Danio rerio: one gene and its partners. Each later gene encodes a partner of the first gene's protein in a complex. Links are inferred from orthologs where the notes say so. Each region holds a gene or a part of one and is shown on either strand. Other genes may lie near its edges.

What was found.
Region 2: the proteins of cacna2d1a (region 1) and cacna1c are in contact, whole or in part, in a cryo-EM structure (PDB 8WEA), measured with the Homo sapiens proteins. The link is inferred for Danio rerio from reciprocal best matches to the Homo sapiens genes CACNA2D1 and CACNA1C. Residues at the interface, in NP_001353796.1 of Homo sapiens: Thr170, Asp171, Tyr173, Ile233, Leu235, Gly262, Ser263, Ser265, Lys270, Thr274, Ala327, Lys328, Gly329, Ile330, Glu366, Gln391, His392, Tyr394, Ile416, Gly417; in NP_955630.3 of Homo sapiens: Phe147, Pro148, Glu149, Asp150, Asp151, Ser152, Asn153, Ala154, Asn678, Lys1090, Gly1091, Asn1092, Tyr1093, Ile1094, Tyr1096, Gly1099, Val1101, Pro1104, Ile1106, Arg1109, Tyr1156.
Region 3: the proteins of cacna2d1a (region 1) and cacna1ea are in contact, whole or in part, in a cryo-EM structure (PDB 8EPM), measured with the Homo sapiens proteins. The link is inferred for Danio rerio from reciprocal best matches to the Homo sapiens genes CACNA2D1 and CACNA1E. Residues at the interface, in NP_001353796.1 of Homo sapiens: Thr170, Asp171, Tyr173, Ile233, Leu235, Ser261, Gly262, Ser263, Ser265, Gly266, Leu267, Lys270, Ala327, Lys328, Gly329, Ile330, Thr331, Glu366, Gln391, Asn393, Tyr394, Ile416, Gly417; in NP_001192222.1 of Homo sapiens: Gln110, Leu112, Pro113, Glu114, Asp115, Asp116, Lys117, Pro119, Arg122, Asn630, Phe631, Asn632, Asp633, Gly634, Ile1330, Gly1331, Asn1332, Val1334, His1336, Met1341, Val1343, Arg1346, Arg1393, Ser1394.

What each region holds. Positions count from the first base shown.
Region 1 is NC_133179.1:20,474,615-20,479,805, forward strand, and holds the start of cacna2d1a (voltage-dependent calcium channel subunit alpha-2/delta-1a precursor), read right to left. Parts: upstream 3,231-5,191; 5' UTR 3,136-3,230; coding exon 3,029-3,135; intron 1-3,028. UniProt on the Homo sapiens protein: The alpha-2/delta subunit of voltage-dependent calcium channels regulates calcium current density and activation/inactivation kinetics of the calcium channel. Plays an important role in excitation-contraction coupling.
Region 2 is NC_133179.1:20,902,347-20,907,471, reverse strand, and holds the start of cacna1c (voltage-dependent L-type calcium channel subunit alpha-1C), read right to left. Parts: upstream 3,451-5,125; 5' UTR 3,059-3,450; coding exon 2,932-3,058; intron 2,168-2,931; exon of another isoform or gene 1,919-2,167; intron 1-1,918. Other genes in the region: dcp1b (mRNA-decapping enzyme 1B), read left to right, coding at 3,952-4,018. UniProt on the Homo sapiens protein: Pore-forming, alpha-1C subunit of the voltage-gated calcium channel that gives rise to L-type calcium currents. Mediates influx of calcium ions into the cytoplasm, and thereby triggers calcium release from the sarcoplasm.
Region 3 is NC_133183.1:16,585,428-16,589,879, reverse strand, and holds part of cacna1ea (voltage-dependent R-type calcium channel subunit alpha-1E), read right to left. Parts: intron 1,794-4,452; coding exon 1,665-1,793; intron 1-1,664. UniProt on the Homo sapiens protein: Voltage-sensitive calcium channels (VSCC) mediate the entry of calcium ions into excitable cells.

The DNA of each region.
Region 1 (5,191 bases):
ATGAAACTCCTCTTTTGAAAGCTGTTTGGACTGAACTGTGTGTATAGTGTGTCCACAGGAGTCATATAAAGACAATAAGTCTCTTTTTTTTTATTTGCTCACGTTAAAATAGGATGCAAATACTTCCCATTTTGTGGCTCACCACAACGTGACGTAGGAGTACGGTTTCCCCGCCCACCAAATTGACAGCTGAGTATTAACATGTCTCCGTAATAACACGACAACAAGATTGGATGTGCGCAAAGCAACTAAGAGTAAATCTGTTCAGCTCACTGTGATCATCAATTATCATCAAATGTGATCAAGAATGACTTTTACAAGTTTAAAACGTTTTTAAAACAGTGGATGTTTGTAATGAATTATAGCAATTTTACCGTCTTTATCACTACAGCTGCATGTCACTACAATTATGAAAGACGACCCTTTAATCCTGGTCTGTGGACGCTTAATCAGGTTTATTTTGTACATCAACATTACGGTTATCAATACAGCAGTGGATATTAATGTATATCCTGTCACATTTGCCGTGTAAAAACTTGAAACTTTAATCAAAGTTAAGCATTTGCGTGCTGTGTTTGTGTGTCTGTGTATGTGCGCAAACTTTGTAACAACATTGTGTGTGACTCATTGTTGCAGAAAGGCTTGAATTTACTCCACAACAAATACATTAAATAAATAATCAATGGGAAAGTTCTTACTGTAGTATTCCTCACAAATGTAACGTGAGATCTGCTTCCTTCGTGTCTGTCACTGTGCTGTTTATCTGATGCAGCAGGAGACTGAGGCCCCGTTTACACTAGTGCGTTTTAGTTTGAAAACAGCGTTTTAGATCAAAAACGATCCGCGTCCACACTCGCGTTTCACCTAGCGTTTCTGAACATATCTCCGTCCACACTACGCCACCAAAAACGTATATCACGTGACCATTCGCGCACTCTGGGCATGTGCATTCTAGCGAATATATGCCGCTGCTGTGGTAAAAAAGGCAGAGTTTAACTGCACAATGGCGCCTAAAACAGACAATAGTGCAAACAACGCATTTCTGTGTCCATGTTGTTGTTTACAGTGAAGGCTGGTCTGTTGTCTTCCGATATAGCGTTAAAGCCATGTGTTACAGTCATGTGATAGGGGCTTGACGAATAAGGGAAAGATTCACAATGACACAAAAGCCCCAATCAGCTAGCAAATCTCGGCAGCCCCGCCTCCATTTTCAGATGTCTCTGTTTTCCTTCATCCACACTGAGACGGAGCAGCAGCGTTTTAGAGTGGAAACAGGCTCTACAGTGTTTCCAAAACGCTGCATTTTGTAGTGTGGACGGATGCCGTAACCATAGCAAAACTTATGCGTTTTCAAACTAAAACGCATTAGTGTAAACGGGGCCTGAGGCACACTGTGACAGGCATGTGGCAACGGTGGGCAGGGAGATCTAGCATTAAAGGCACGGGCAACAAAAACAGCTACAAATTGTGTTCAGAGCAGAAAATTACAATATACTGAAAGCTATAATGAATAATCTGATGGGTGTTTGGAACTGAAACTTTACAGACACATTCTGGAGACACAAAAGACAACAAATCTTGAAGATTTGAGTCAAGTAGAGTCAAGATTTTGAGTTAAATAGGTGCCTTTTGATAACGATATGAGTGATATAAATCACTTTTGGGATATTTCTGTGGTGATTTCATGTTCTATTTTAAGACTTGACATTTTGAAACTTAGTAAATACTGCATAGTAAAAAAGAAAGCCCTTCTGTGGGGCTTAAATTTCTTTTTTCGTCCAGAAGAACACAAAAAACATGGAGCAACATTATTTATTTTTGGATTAAATATCTCATTAAAGGGATCTTTCAGCCAAAATAAAAAGGTGCTGTTAATTTACTCGCCATAAGGTCATCCAAGATCTTTTTTTTTCTTCAGTAGAACATTAAACAAGGTTTTTAATTAAAAATGTAATCCTAAGTGATCCATAAAATGCCAGTCAACAGCTACAGCCACTTAGAAAGTAAAAAAATACATATATGGGCGAAATAAAATTAATACCTGAGCTCCTGATGATACAATGAGATGTTTAAAATTCTGTGCATGAAAATAAACATTATTTTATAAATGAAAATGAAATAAAAGTGAACATGAACATTGTTACTTTCAATCCATAGCCTCCAGAGAATGTGAGCATATAATGATTACATACGACTTTTACAGTATATAGGTTCCAGCAACCAGTATAAGCATAAGTAAGCTATGCACACGTACATAATGTTTTTGAATAAAATGTCTTAAATAATGTGTTAATAAAGAGTTGATTAAACATGATTTTTGCAAACATTCTAAACTAGACCTAAAAGACATATTACAAATGTCTATTTGACATCAGACAGAAGACGTCTAGCAAATAACTTACTTTAAATATTACGTCTCTCCGTTTTAAATGCACACATCAAATGGACTTCTCCACTATGCAAGTATACTATCAGGAAATCCAGACTGTCGTAAAACACACCGGGGACCATTTGTCGATGTAATGTGGTAAATAATGTCAGTTACCTCCACACACTGGTAATTTTTCTTCATTCAAGACTTAAATGTATTGTCAGGTGTCACAGTTTGGCCTATTAATTTTGTTATGCCTCTAGGCTATGTTTTTCCCCCACAGTGTATAAATAAATAACGACGGCAGTTTCAGGTAAAATCTCCTTCCAACTGAAGAAAAAGGAAGTCACATACATCTTACATGGTCTGCGAGTGAGTACATTATCCACATATTTTCATTTTTGGGTGAACTGTCCCTTTAATTTCTCATGGCATCGTAAAAACCAAACTCAACGGACGTGCGTCTCACGCATGTGTGACTACAAACTATAAAAAGCTGAGCAGAATGAACGCGAAACGCAACTTGTGGTTGGAGTATCACCAGCCTGACTCTATTAGTATACAACAAAAACTTAAAGTATTACGCTTTTACGGCCAACTCTTTGAGAGTAACAACTAGTAATCATAGCAATAACAAGTTTTGTTCCGTCTACTTACAGAAATGAGTCGGGAAACTGTATAGCGCTTCCAAAGCTGCATAAAGACAGAAGTAGAAGAAGAGCGGTCGACAATCTGAGCGCATCCATCATTCTTCTGACTGACATCCAACACGCGAGTTTTTCCCCACTAAAATCCACTCAAGTGACCCTCCGAGAACAGTCAAGCTGCCGCCATGAGCGCCGCTACTTCCACAAACAAATCACGGATGCGTTCGGTCCCTCCAGCTACTTCTGCCTTTGCCCTGTTGAATTAGTTTGGAGGGTGTCGGGGGAGTCCGGTGTGGGGCGTTTCCGTGCGTCTCTCTCCGGTTTGACTGTACGGTAAAGAGTCAGTTTTTAGACTGTGCGCTGTGGCGGATCGGTTTCCACACGCCCCCCACCCATCTGTGCGCGATCAGCATCACGCGTGTCGCTCCATACAAGGAGACCGAGACGCGCTGCGAGCCATCAACGACTGAGTGACAGGAAAGTAGATAGATAGATAGATAGATAGATAGATAGATAGATAGATAGATAGATAGACAGATAGATAGATAGATAGATAGATAGATAGATAGATAGATAGATAGATAGATAGATAGATAGATAGATAGATAGATAGATAGATAGATAGATAGATAGATAGATAGATAGATTTTTTGTATTTGTCAGAGAGTGAATAGTAGGTGTTTACTGTTTATGAATTCTGTAGATAAATATATTTTGCAAATACTGTAAATAAGTTTTAACAGTGAGTTTCTACTAAATTAAACATTAAAACAATTATAAAAGGCAGTTAAAAAATTCTTCTCTTATGAAAATGAAACAATACAATTATATTATTATTATTATTATTATTATTATTATTATTATTATTATTATTATTGAAAGTCTTATAATAATAACCTAACAGTAATAATCATAATTTAATAATAATAATATTAATAACTATTTTATTAACTAAAAGTTTTCCCTTCCTGCAACACACATCTTTCGCCATTTACAAATTAGAAATGATGTACATCATGCAATAGCCAATTTTTAATCTTTGCCAGAGGAAAAAAGCGTCTATAAGCTATTATAATAGGCTCACTTGATTCCAAACATTTGGTTTCAGATTTTGTACTTTTATTTTTCAAGAGCTGAGTAACTGCAGCTTTTTAGAAAAATTCTTGATAATAGGAACTGGGCATAAAGATCGAGGGTGACACATGGGAGGAAAGCCTCAGCCGGATTGGATATAGACTTTAATTAATTACATTTAAAATGCATAGACTGCATTACTCAAAATCTCAAATTACACTGAATTTTTCCAACCATTTCTCCATCATGTGAAGTCTGCTGAAGGCCCTCTGACCCACTTCTTTCAGACATGTCCAAAATATTGCAATTTCTGGTGTGACATCTTTAAATGGTTTCTGATTTGTCTTGTTGTGCCTTTACACCTGACACAGAAATAGCACTATTTTGGTATTCTTCTTTTTCTGCTGTTTTATAACATGTCCATATCAAAATCATAATACAGTACAGTTGAAGTCAAAATTATTAGCCCCCCCTGAATTATTAGCCCCACTGTTTATTTTTTTTCCTCAATTTCTGTTTAATGGAGAGCAGATTTTTTTCAACACATTTCTAATCATAATAGTTTTAATAACTCATTACTAATAACAGATATATTTTATCTTTGCCATGATGATAGTAAATAATATTTGAGTAGATATTTATCTAGACACATCTAAACAGATTAAAGTGACGTTTAAAGACTCAACTAGTTTAATTAGGTTAACTAGGCAGAATAGGGTAATTAGGCAAGTTATTGTATAATGTCGGTTTGTTCTGTAGACTATCAAAAAATAATAACGCTTAAAAGGGCTATTCATTTTGACCTTAAAATTGTTTTTAAAAAATTAAAAATGGTTTTTATTCTAGCCGAAATAAAACAAATAAGACTTTCTCCAGAAGAAAAAATATTATCAGACATACTATGAAAATTTCCAGAATCTGTTTAACATCATTTAGGAAATAAAAAAAAAAAAAGTCAAAGGAGGCTAATAATTCTGCCGTATTTCAACCGTACATGGAAGGATCATTGCTAAGAGTATCATTCTAAAGCTGTGGAAATCAGATTCTATGCCTCAATTTAAGACATGGTTGACTTATCTCTCTCAAATATTGAAAAGAG
Region 2 (5,125 bases), about 430 kb from region 1:
ATATCAAACTGACTATAAATAGCCCGACTAACATTACTCCCTCATTTTAATTTTTTGAAGAATCCCCCCATGCCCCCCATCTTCCCCTTTCCTCCTGTACCAAGAGAAGCTCTCAAGAACTACCTGATCTCGTACCTCCTTACATGCTAACTGACCAGGAGGGAGCCCTGGGCTCAATTATCTCCGAGCTCAGGGTTCTCTCTCGGGACAGCATGCCAAACCTGCTAACACTTGAAATGACAAATGGGAAAGACGAGAAAAAAGTTTAATGGCATAAAGAAAAAGCATGGACATAAATTCAGCCTTAGAATTGTAAATGTGTTTATTTTATTAAAAATATAATTAAAATGAATGGACCTGAATTTAGCTGATTTATTGTCAAATTAAATTTAACAAAAGGACATTCAGGCTCGTTATCTTTTGTAATCAGTTAATCAGGAAAACAAATGCACTTCTCTGAAGTTAAAGCTTTACGACGATGCTACAAACTCTTTCAGAAGGACTGCTTGCATGCAGGCACACAAAACCTTTTTTGGCTTACAATGGAAATTTTTTAATATTCCTCCATCAATTACATTCTCCCTGGGCTGGCGCATGCAGCTTTAGACAAATTTATCATGAGGTAGTCAAGATGGCAAGATAAAGAGTGATTTAATTATTATTATTTGGTCATATTAATAAGCTATCACTGATGTCATTTAAAATTCACTTTGCTCTATTTCGCCTGCAGGAACAGACTGACTCACATCTAAAATGTTTTTAAAACAGAAAAAAACATCATCCAGACATCTAAAAAATAGATTGTGACTATTGCTTACAGTGATGATGTTAGTTTATATCCGGATACGAGCTTTAGAAAGGAATGCATAAGTGAAAGAGAAAGTGAACAAGAGAAATGATGAGGTGCAGGGTCAACATATATTACGCACTTATTTGTTTGCACCACAGGCTATACATTATCTAAATAGACTATATAATATAAAGGAAACTTGCTTGTGCACAATTTTAGTCAATAATAAAATGTATCTTAATGATTGTGTTATGTAGGGGTAGACAAGGGGGTTCACTATAAAGACACATTTAATATGTGCTGGGCGTCCTCCAAAAAGATAAGCAGCTCAGCATCCGTCTGCTCTGCCCTAATAGTGGCAGTGAAATAGTGATATAGTTTTTTTGGTTGTTCAAATGAGATCACCAGACATTTTTATTTATTTATTTATTTATTTCCAAATAGGTCTAGGGATCGTGCTTGCATCACCATTTACAACAAAGGGTAATGTGTGTTTAATTTGGAATGCTCAGAGGTTGATTGTCTGGTGAGAAAGTAGTCTTTTACTAATGTTCAGATTTATGAGTGTTTAAGGCCCAGGTAAACTTTGTTTTCAGTTTTCTGCTCCATCTCATGCACAGTTTAGTGAGCAACGCTTTCAAAATTAATTGACTGTGAATGTGGAAGCACATTAAATCACTGGCCCCTCAATGCACTAGACTGCAAGAACAAAAAAAAAATCAGGCTGCACACAGATGGTGTTCACAGACATCAGCCGACTGTGCTAATGACAAAAGTTTGACCACCTTCAAATGTGACTGATATAAATGAATTTTGACATGTATTAAGGAGGATCAATGTCAAACAGAAACACATGTTAATAACCAAGGTGTAGATGGGCAGGGAGCAGAGGGAGTGCATCCATCCAAAAACTTCAGAGCTTAATTGCAGTAAAAGTGTGTCTAGATTGAAAAAGCTGTCATACTGGTGAGTGTATGTGTGTGTGAGAGAACGAGAGATCAGAGATCGCTGGCAGGCGGGCCTGTTTGAGAGGCCCCAGAGCCACAGTGCCTTATATGGTGCAGAGAAGTGTGTGTTTCTCTTTCAGTTTCCTGCCAGCATCATAGACCCGACCAACCAATCCTGATTAGATAACAACCCTCTCTAACACGCATACATGCACAGGCTTCCAAGGAAATTCATGATAAGGAGACCTGCAAATAGAGTGCATGGAGAAAAGCTTTAGGCTTTCAAAGTAGAGAAACTACTTTAGGCTTATTGAACAAATCATTGTAGATCCTGATGTTTCAGCCAGTCCAATAATGAGCTTTGACCGTGAAATTCTGTGCATCTGCTGACGGTCTGATGGGAAACTTTGTGCTGGCTACTTTGATGTAGGTGAGATTTTACAGGCAGACTATTTCACTGATTTAATTCCCCTTGAGGGGATTTTATCTCTGATCAATCTTGCTGCACCAATGCTGGAATGTTGTGAGAGGTAGCCAAGAAGTTGATTTGCATTTGTCAAATGTTGTTAGTGGCTGTTTGTGCATTGCAATGCGATTGCTAAGGTGTTTTGGCTTATACTCCGGTGTTCTCAACAATCCTCACGAGTTCTTTGCAGAATGACTGAATGTTTAATTAAAATAAAACCAAAATCGCAATGAGGCTTAGTGAGTATATCAAAAGGCTGTGAATTTATGTATGAGCGTGTTTGAGTAAACCACGGCTCTTCAGTAAAAGGAAAACATTTAAGCATGTCATAAATATTTTACAGCCATAAACAAGTCGCTAAGATATTTTTATAGCCTTGACATTTTTTGTTATAAAACTTTCAAGTCAAATTGCAGTTGTAATTCTTATAATAGTTACTTTTTTCCCCCCAATATTGTCCCACCCTAAATCCTTCATGACCTGGATCAAACAGTTTCAGTACCCGATTAACAGCTAAATACTTGGTAGAGCCAATATGGCCATAACAAACACTACTAATTAGGTTTCACACAGCGAGAAGTCCTGCATTGTCCATCGCTCCTCCTCGTGTGCCAAGGGTGCTGGATTCTGTCCACTCATCTCTTAAACAAACGCAGTGTTGTGGTTGTGATTTGTAACGGGATAGCTGGAGACTTTCAGCAGGACTGTTAAGTATACAAAGCTCTTACCTCCTGGCCGCACATGTGTGTAGCCCAGCTCTCTCTCCGATACAAGCTTCCCTTTGAACCGCACCTCCACTTCCTCCTCCAGTCGCTCATGCTTCAGCCTGCGCCAACTGAACAGCCCCCGCAGCATCTCCTTTTTTTTCTGAGGTTTGAATCCTCAGCAGATTGAAGCTTTGGTCTATTTGAAGTCGGTCACAAGTTCACAGTCTCCTCAGTGCTCATGTGGATTCAGCTCCATTCAGTAAAACTCGCAGCAAATGCTCCTGCACTCTGTCTGACTCAATGTGTGGTTCAGGTCTCTGTTTTTCTTTTCTTTTTTGTGTGTGTATTTTGCCAAGTTAAACTTCAAAAGCGCTTCCAAAATCCTCTCATCCTTCTCTTCGTTCTTCTCCTTGTTCTCCTCTCCTTGCTCTCTCTCTTTCTCTGAGTTGTGTTCCTCAGTTCCCAGGCAGTATTTTGTTTGGGTTTTTTCCCCAGGCGCTGACCCGTGTGGTGCTCTCCGCTCAGAGAATGAACGGTTGTGAATATAGCACCAGCCCTCTTTCTCTCTCTCTTCCTCTCCCTCTCTTTTACTGCCTTGGATTTTGTTATCTCTTCTAGAGGTGAATGGAACAGGTCCTGATTCGGCTGTCAGCACCAGTCTCTAAGTTTAGTTCATGAGAGACCACAGTCACTGAAACTTCTCTTAGTTGTTCCCAATACAGTTGTTCTTCAAAAAGGCAACAGAATGTTGATGCGAGCATCTGGCAACTACATTTTGGTGGTTAACGACATTTTGGTGGATTGGCAGAGCACTTGGCTCCAGTTCTACTTGGGCACATGGGAGTTTGGACTGTCTGGGAAAGGAATGTCAGCTAGAGTGGAGTGTGTATGTATGATGGCAGTTTAAGTGCATGTATGGACTTCTTCTACTGACAATTCTGATACGGTGCTTAACAATTATAGTCTTCTGCTCTTGATTGATTTTAATTAAATGAGTGACTGAGGTTAATATTATCATGTATGTGTATTTTTTTTTGGCAGTGTCCATCTATGGAATCTGGTTCTATGATAAAGAGGACTGTCAGCGTATAGCAGAACTCATGAAGAAGTATGTGTATCTTTCATCTGCAAACTTGCACAACATGGTCACACACTTAATGGGGTATTTGCATTTCAGGTCTTTACATTACAAATTCGCCACATTTAAGATCTGATTTCTTTCAAAATCAGTGATCTTCACAGTCTGGTAGATATACAATATGAAGTGGATCTCAGACCGGACAAGAAGCATTGCGTTAAATTCCATTTACCCCACCACGTCTTTAAAATGTGAAATTTTATTTTACCACAGTATTTTTAATGGAGTTTCTGCGCTAGCCTGAAGCTCCTGGAGGCTTTTATCTCATTTTACACTTGAACAACTAAATGAATGATTAAGTCTGTTTAACTGATTGTATTTGAATTACATTACAACATTGATGCTGTAAAAAGAACATTAATGAAATTGAAAATAGCCACGTAAAGCTTTCACTGGTAGCTTATCAATGGCTAAAAATACTAGCTGTGCATGTAGTCCATTCTATTATCATATAATTTCCATTTAGGCCACATTCACAATGGAACTAAATTTAGTTGTCTATACCTTCTTTATTGCCTAAATATGTTTTGTAAACAGTTTAGAAATGTACAGCTGTGTTACAAGTAACGCAAGTTACGTAATATTATATAAGTAACGAAAAAAAGTAATACATTACTTAAAAAAATTAAGTAATAATAATGGAGTTACTGTTTTCTAATGCAAGTTACTTTTTAACTTATTTAATCACCTTTTAATAAATGTAATTGCTGAATTAAAATTAACTTAGTCACATTGAATTAATGAGAGACTGTGCTCCCGTAGGAACAGAGAGAAACGAAGATGGCTGTCATACATTTTTGTGATGGAAGTATTTTCATTATTTTGAACACATTGAAGAAAAGAAAAAAGGGAATTGTCTTGATGGGCAGTGATTTTACTTAACTAAAGTAAACAAAAAACAAAAGTATTTAACAAAAAGTACCAAACCACACATTTTTGTTTACTTAACTAAAGTAAACAAAAAACAAAAGTATTTAACAAAAAGTACCATACACATTGCTTTAAACGTCAATAAAGTGTGTATATACGGCATGTATAGCTCTTGGGTCAGGAAGTTCTCAGAAAATAACATCATGC
Region 3 (4,452 bases), on another chromosome or scaffold:
CACACCAGTTAATCAACTATCTAAAATTTGACAACATTTAAAGCATATATAATATGTACTAATTCTAAGTATAAAAATACTTAAAAAATTTAATAAATATATATATATATATATATAAAATGTATGTCATTAAACTGAATATATATATATATATATATATATATATATATATATATATATATATATATATATATATATATATATATATATATATATATATATATATACACACTCACTCAGTGCATTCGGAAAGTATTCATAGCGTTTCACTTTTTCCACTTTTTTTTTTTTTTTTGTTACAGTCTTATTCCAAAACAGATTAATTTCATTTATTTCCTCAAAATTCTACACACAACCAAAATAGTTGCAAATTTATTAAATATAAAAAAAAATCACATGTACATAAATATTTACAACCTTTGCTCAATACTTTGTTGATGCACCTTTGGCAGCAATTACAGCGTCAAGTCTTTTTGCATATGATGCCACAAGCTTGACACAGCCTCTCAAGCTCTATCAGTTTGGATGGGAAGCGACGGTGTACAGCCATTTTCGGATCTCTCCAGAGATGTTCAATAGGATTTAGATCTGGTTTTAGATCTGGATTTAGATCTGATGGGCCACTCAAGGACATTCACCGAGTTGTTGTGAAGCCACTCCATTGATATTTTTGTGGTGTGTTTTGGGTCATTGTCCTGCTGGAAAATGAAACGTCGCCCCAGTCTAAGGTCAAGAGCACTCCGAAGCAGGTTTTCATTCAGGATGTCTTTGTACATTGCTGCATTCCTCTTTCCCTCTATCCTGACTATTCTTCTAGCTCCTGCATCTGAAAAACATCCCCACAGCATGATGCTGCCACCACCATGCTTTACTGTAGGGATGGTATTAGCCTGGTAATAATCTGTACAGTATCTGGTTTTCTCCAAGCGTAACGCCTGGCATTCACTCCAAAGAGTACAATTTTAGTCTCATCAGACCAGAGAACTTTGTTTCTTATGGTCTGAGAGTCCTTCAGATGCATTTTGGCAAATTCCAGGTGGTACAGAACGTACCTGAGCTCAATTTAGAGCTTCACGGCAAAGGCTGTGAATACTTATGTATATGTGATTTTTCAGATATTTTATTTGTAATAAATTTGCAACAGTTTCAAAAAACTTTTTTTACATTGTCATTATGGGGTATTGTGTGTAGAATTTTGAGGAAGTCAATTAATTTAATCCATTTTGGAATAAGGCTGTAAAATAAAAAAATTTTTAAGTTAAAACTTTCTGGATGCACTGTTTATACTGAAACATATAAACATATAAATATAGCAAAAATAATAATAATGTATCATTGACAGTGTGTGTAACTGATATTGATGTAGCCTTCTGTGTATAATTCATTATTAAAATTATATTTAATTATTTTATTATATTTAATTGTTATATTTTCATAAATAACCTTTTTATAATCACTGCAACATAAACACACCAGAAGTTGGTTTAAGGGAACATTTCCAGTAAAAATTGCCATCACAGTCCCACCAAATGAAAAACAACAGCTTTCTACCCACTGCTTCCATTCCCACTTTGGAACCAATGCCCACAATGATGCTAATCACAGTGTAGGATTAGAGAAAGCAGCTAGTTATCAGCGCAAGTCTAAGCTAACACAGGCAGTACCTGTGGCTCTACCGCCAGGCGAGGCATGGAAGAGGCTCGGATAGAGACGCCTCTTCCTGGCACTTGCAGTGGATCAGCCTGCATGCTAGTGGGGCACATCACACTGCTAAATTCTTTGTGCTCAGGCACCTACGCAGTTAGAGAGAGGAGAAAAACGGGGAGGAGGAAAGACATTCAGTCCTTACTTAAAAATACACTTACTATAACAGAATCAAGTGTATTATGTATAGAATTATTGTTATAGAATTGAATTGCAGCAAGGTTTACAGCCTAAAGTAAAAAAATCTCCTTTTTTATTACTTTATTACTCAATAAGAATCCATAGAGGAAAAGTAAAGTGGCAAAAGGACACGTCGTAAGCAAAAACACGTAGCCAATACGCATGAGCAACTGATAGGGGGTGTAGAGCGTTTCAAAGCAGAAGCCACAGATACTGGGCGTAAACACAAGCGCTCTTGCACAACAGAGATTCAAACATAAACCAACTTAAAAACCCTAGCGTTATATCACAGCTCATAAGAAAAAAGCAGAAAAAAGCTACCAGGAGAGATAGAAAATAAGAGCATAAGACACATAAGAGCACAGGAAGACATCTAGGCTTGTGTGTAACTGCTTACTGGTTATATAATCTTGACCTAGAAGTCTAACCTTGAAAAACCACATCAATAAACCCTTCCAAACCTCTAAAAGAAAGAAAGAAAGAACACAAGTCTCTAAAAGCACTACCGTTACGAGGCCAGAAAACAAATAATAAAGAGATGGCAAAAAAGCTGCAAATGTGGGGAAGTCTGGAAAGGTAGAAGCATCATGCAAGGTGGAAACCAGGGAGGTGATGTTCATGCAGATGACCTTCTGATAATTAAGCTTTCAACACAATCACATGGCACATTTATGACATTCATAGAAGACCATTTTTGCCACACAAAAATAGAGATGAAATATAATTACAAATATTAGGTCCAAAATTTTAAGATGAAAAGTTATGGTTTGACTTTTGAGAATATGATTATTTTAAAACTTAAAAGGTCAAAATTAAACTGTAAAATACGGATGTCGTAAGAGGCCATGCTTAAAAATATTTTTTTTCTCGTTTTGTTTTGATCTTGACATAACAAAAAGTTGTTATGTCGTGATTACGACTTATCTTTTTGCTTTAATTTATGTAGCATTTATTTATGTATTTATTATTATTATTATTATTATTATAATAATAATAATTATTATTATTATTAATAATAATAATAATATCTGGCCAATGTATGACCACACAACCTATTTTTTTCTGCCTGGATGCCCTAGGCATGCTTAACGTTGAAGCCGTGGGAACGGGGGGCTAAGTTAAGTGTGCAATACATAGGCTTGTACGGAAGTGTTAAATCATTTTTATAAGAATCAGTTTAGTTCAGCTGGACATGTTATGCTACAGATATGTGGGAAGCACCGCGCGTCTGTTACAAGCATCTCTGAGCTGCAGGAGTGACGAGAATGATACGATATGACGGATCCAAACTCGCAGGAAAAGGATTGTTTTCTAACTACTTCATTTAAAATAACATAGTTGGTCTGTATGGATGTCAATTTCAACAAAGTCCTGTGATCGATCTTGATTTAAATTAACGATCAATTACAGATTAATCGTTATGACCACTCCATCAAAAACACAATAGATACTTCCCATGGCAATGTGCATACAGTAGCTTCATATCGCATTATTTGCAGGAACTCACTTTTTAAAGTCATTGTAAATAACTTGTGGAAATGAAAAAAGCAAAAGCAGGATCTTCAGCATTCTTCATAATTTAATTCATAAATGCAGCAAGTTATTTGGCGCCATATTAAGTTGCTTTAACAGTTTAACAGTTGAGAGGATTTTATTGTAAATTATGATATAAAATTTTAGAAAATAGGAATAATTTTTTTATTATTTTTGTCTCTTTTTCTTTTAATCAAACAATTATTTGTATTGGTCATGTAAGGGTCATATATTAACAACTTCTACTGTTGTGTGTGGGATGCTGTGCATACTATTTAGCATTTTTGCAGAAGTAGATAAATGCTGGTGCAAAATTAAATTCATGTAAATTCATATGGACTGGACAATGATTGACAAATGACGAATTTGACGAAACTCCACATGTTAATATCAGCTGCCTATATAAGTTGGAGTCAGGAAAAGAAAGTGGTTGTGCGCCTCCTCAATGTAACTTTTGCATTGCATTGAGGATAACAGAATTCTTTGAATCAAATTATTAATTTGTATCCAATAAATTGTTAAGATTTTGAACATTGAAGAAAAACCTCTCCTGACCTTTTTTTTGAACACGCATGGAATTGATTGAAAATTACAACAATAATCATATACATGAATATAATCATGAACGTAGATTAATTATGAGCATGAGCGTTTTGAGCTCATATTAGTATAGCTTTTCTGAAAGTTAGTGTTGCAAGAATGCATGTCTGCAGTTAGGCAGACTCACTGCTCTAGTCTTAACACTCGTGCTGCCCCTTCATTATAAGCAATCATTAAGTTACATGAGGAATATTCTGTTTTAAAGGCCAGAGAGTACATGTAAAGAATATCGGTGGCCTGGTTATATTAGGCAGGAATAATAATAATATCAAATAATAATAATAATAAAAATCAATACATTAATAAAATACATAAAACAAGTTGTGATCACAACATAACTTTGTTATGCCGAGATGATGAGATAATTAAGTCGTGATCACAAGAAAACAACTTTTTGTTATAATGAGATAACGAGAAAATGAGTTGTTATGTCAA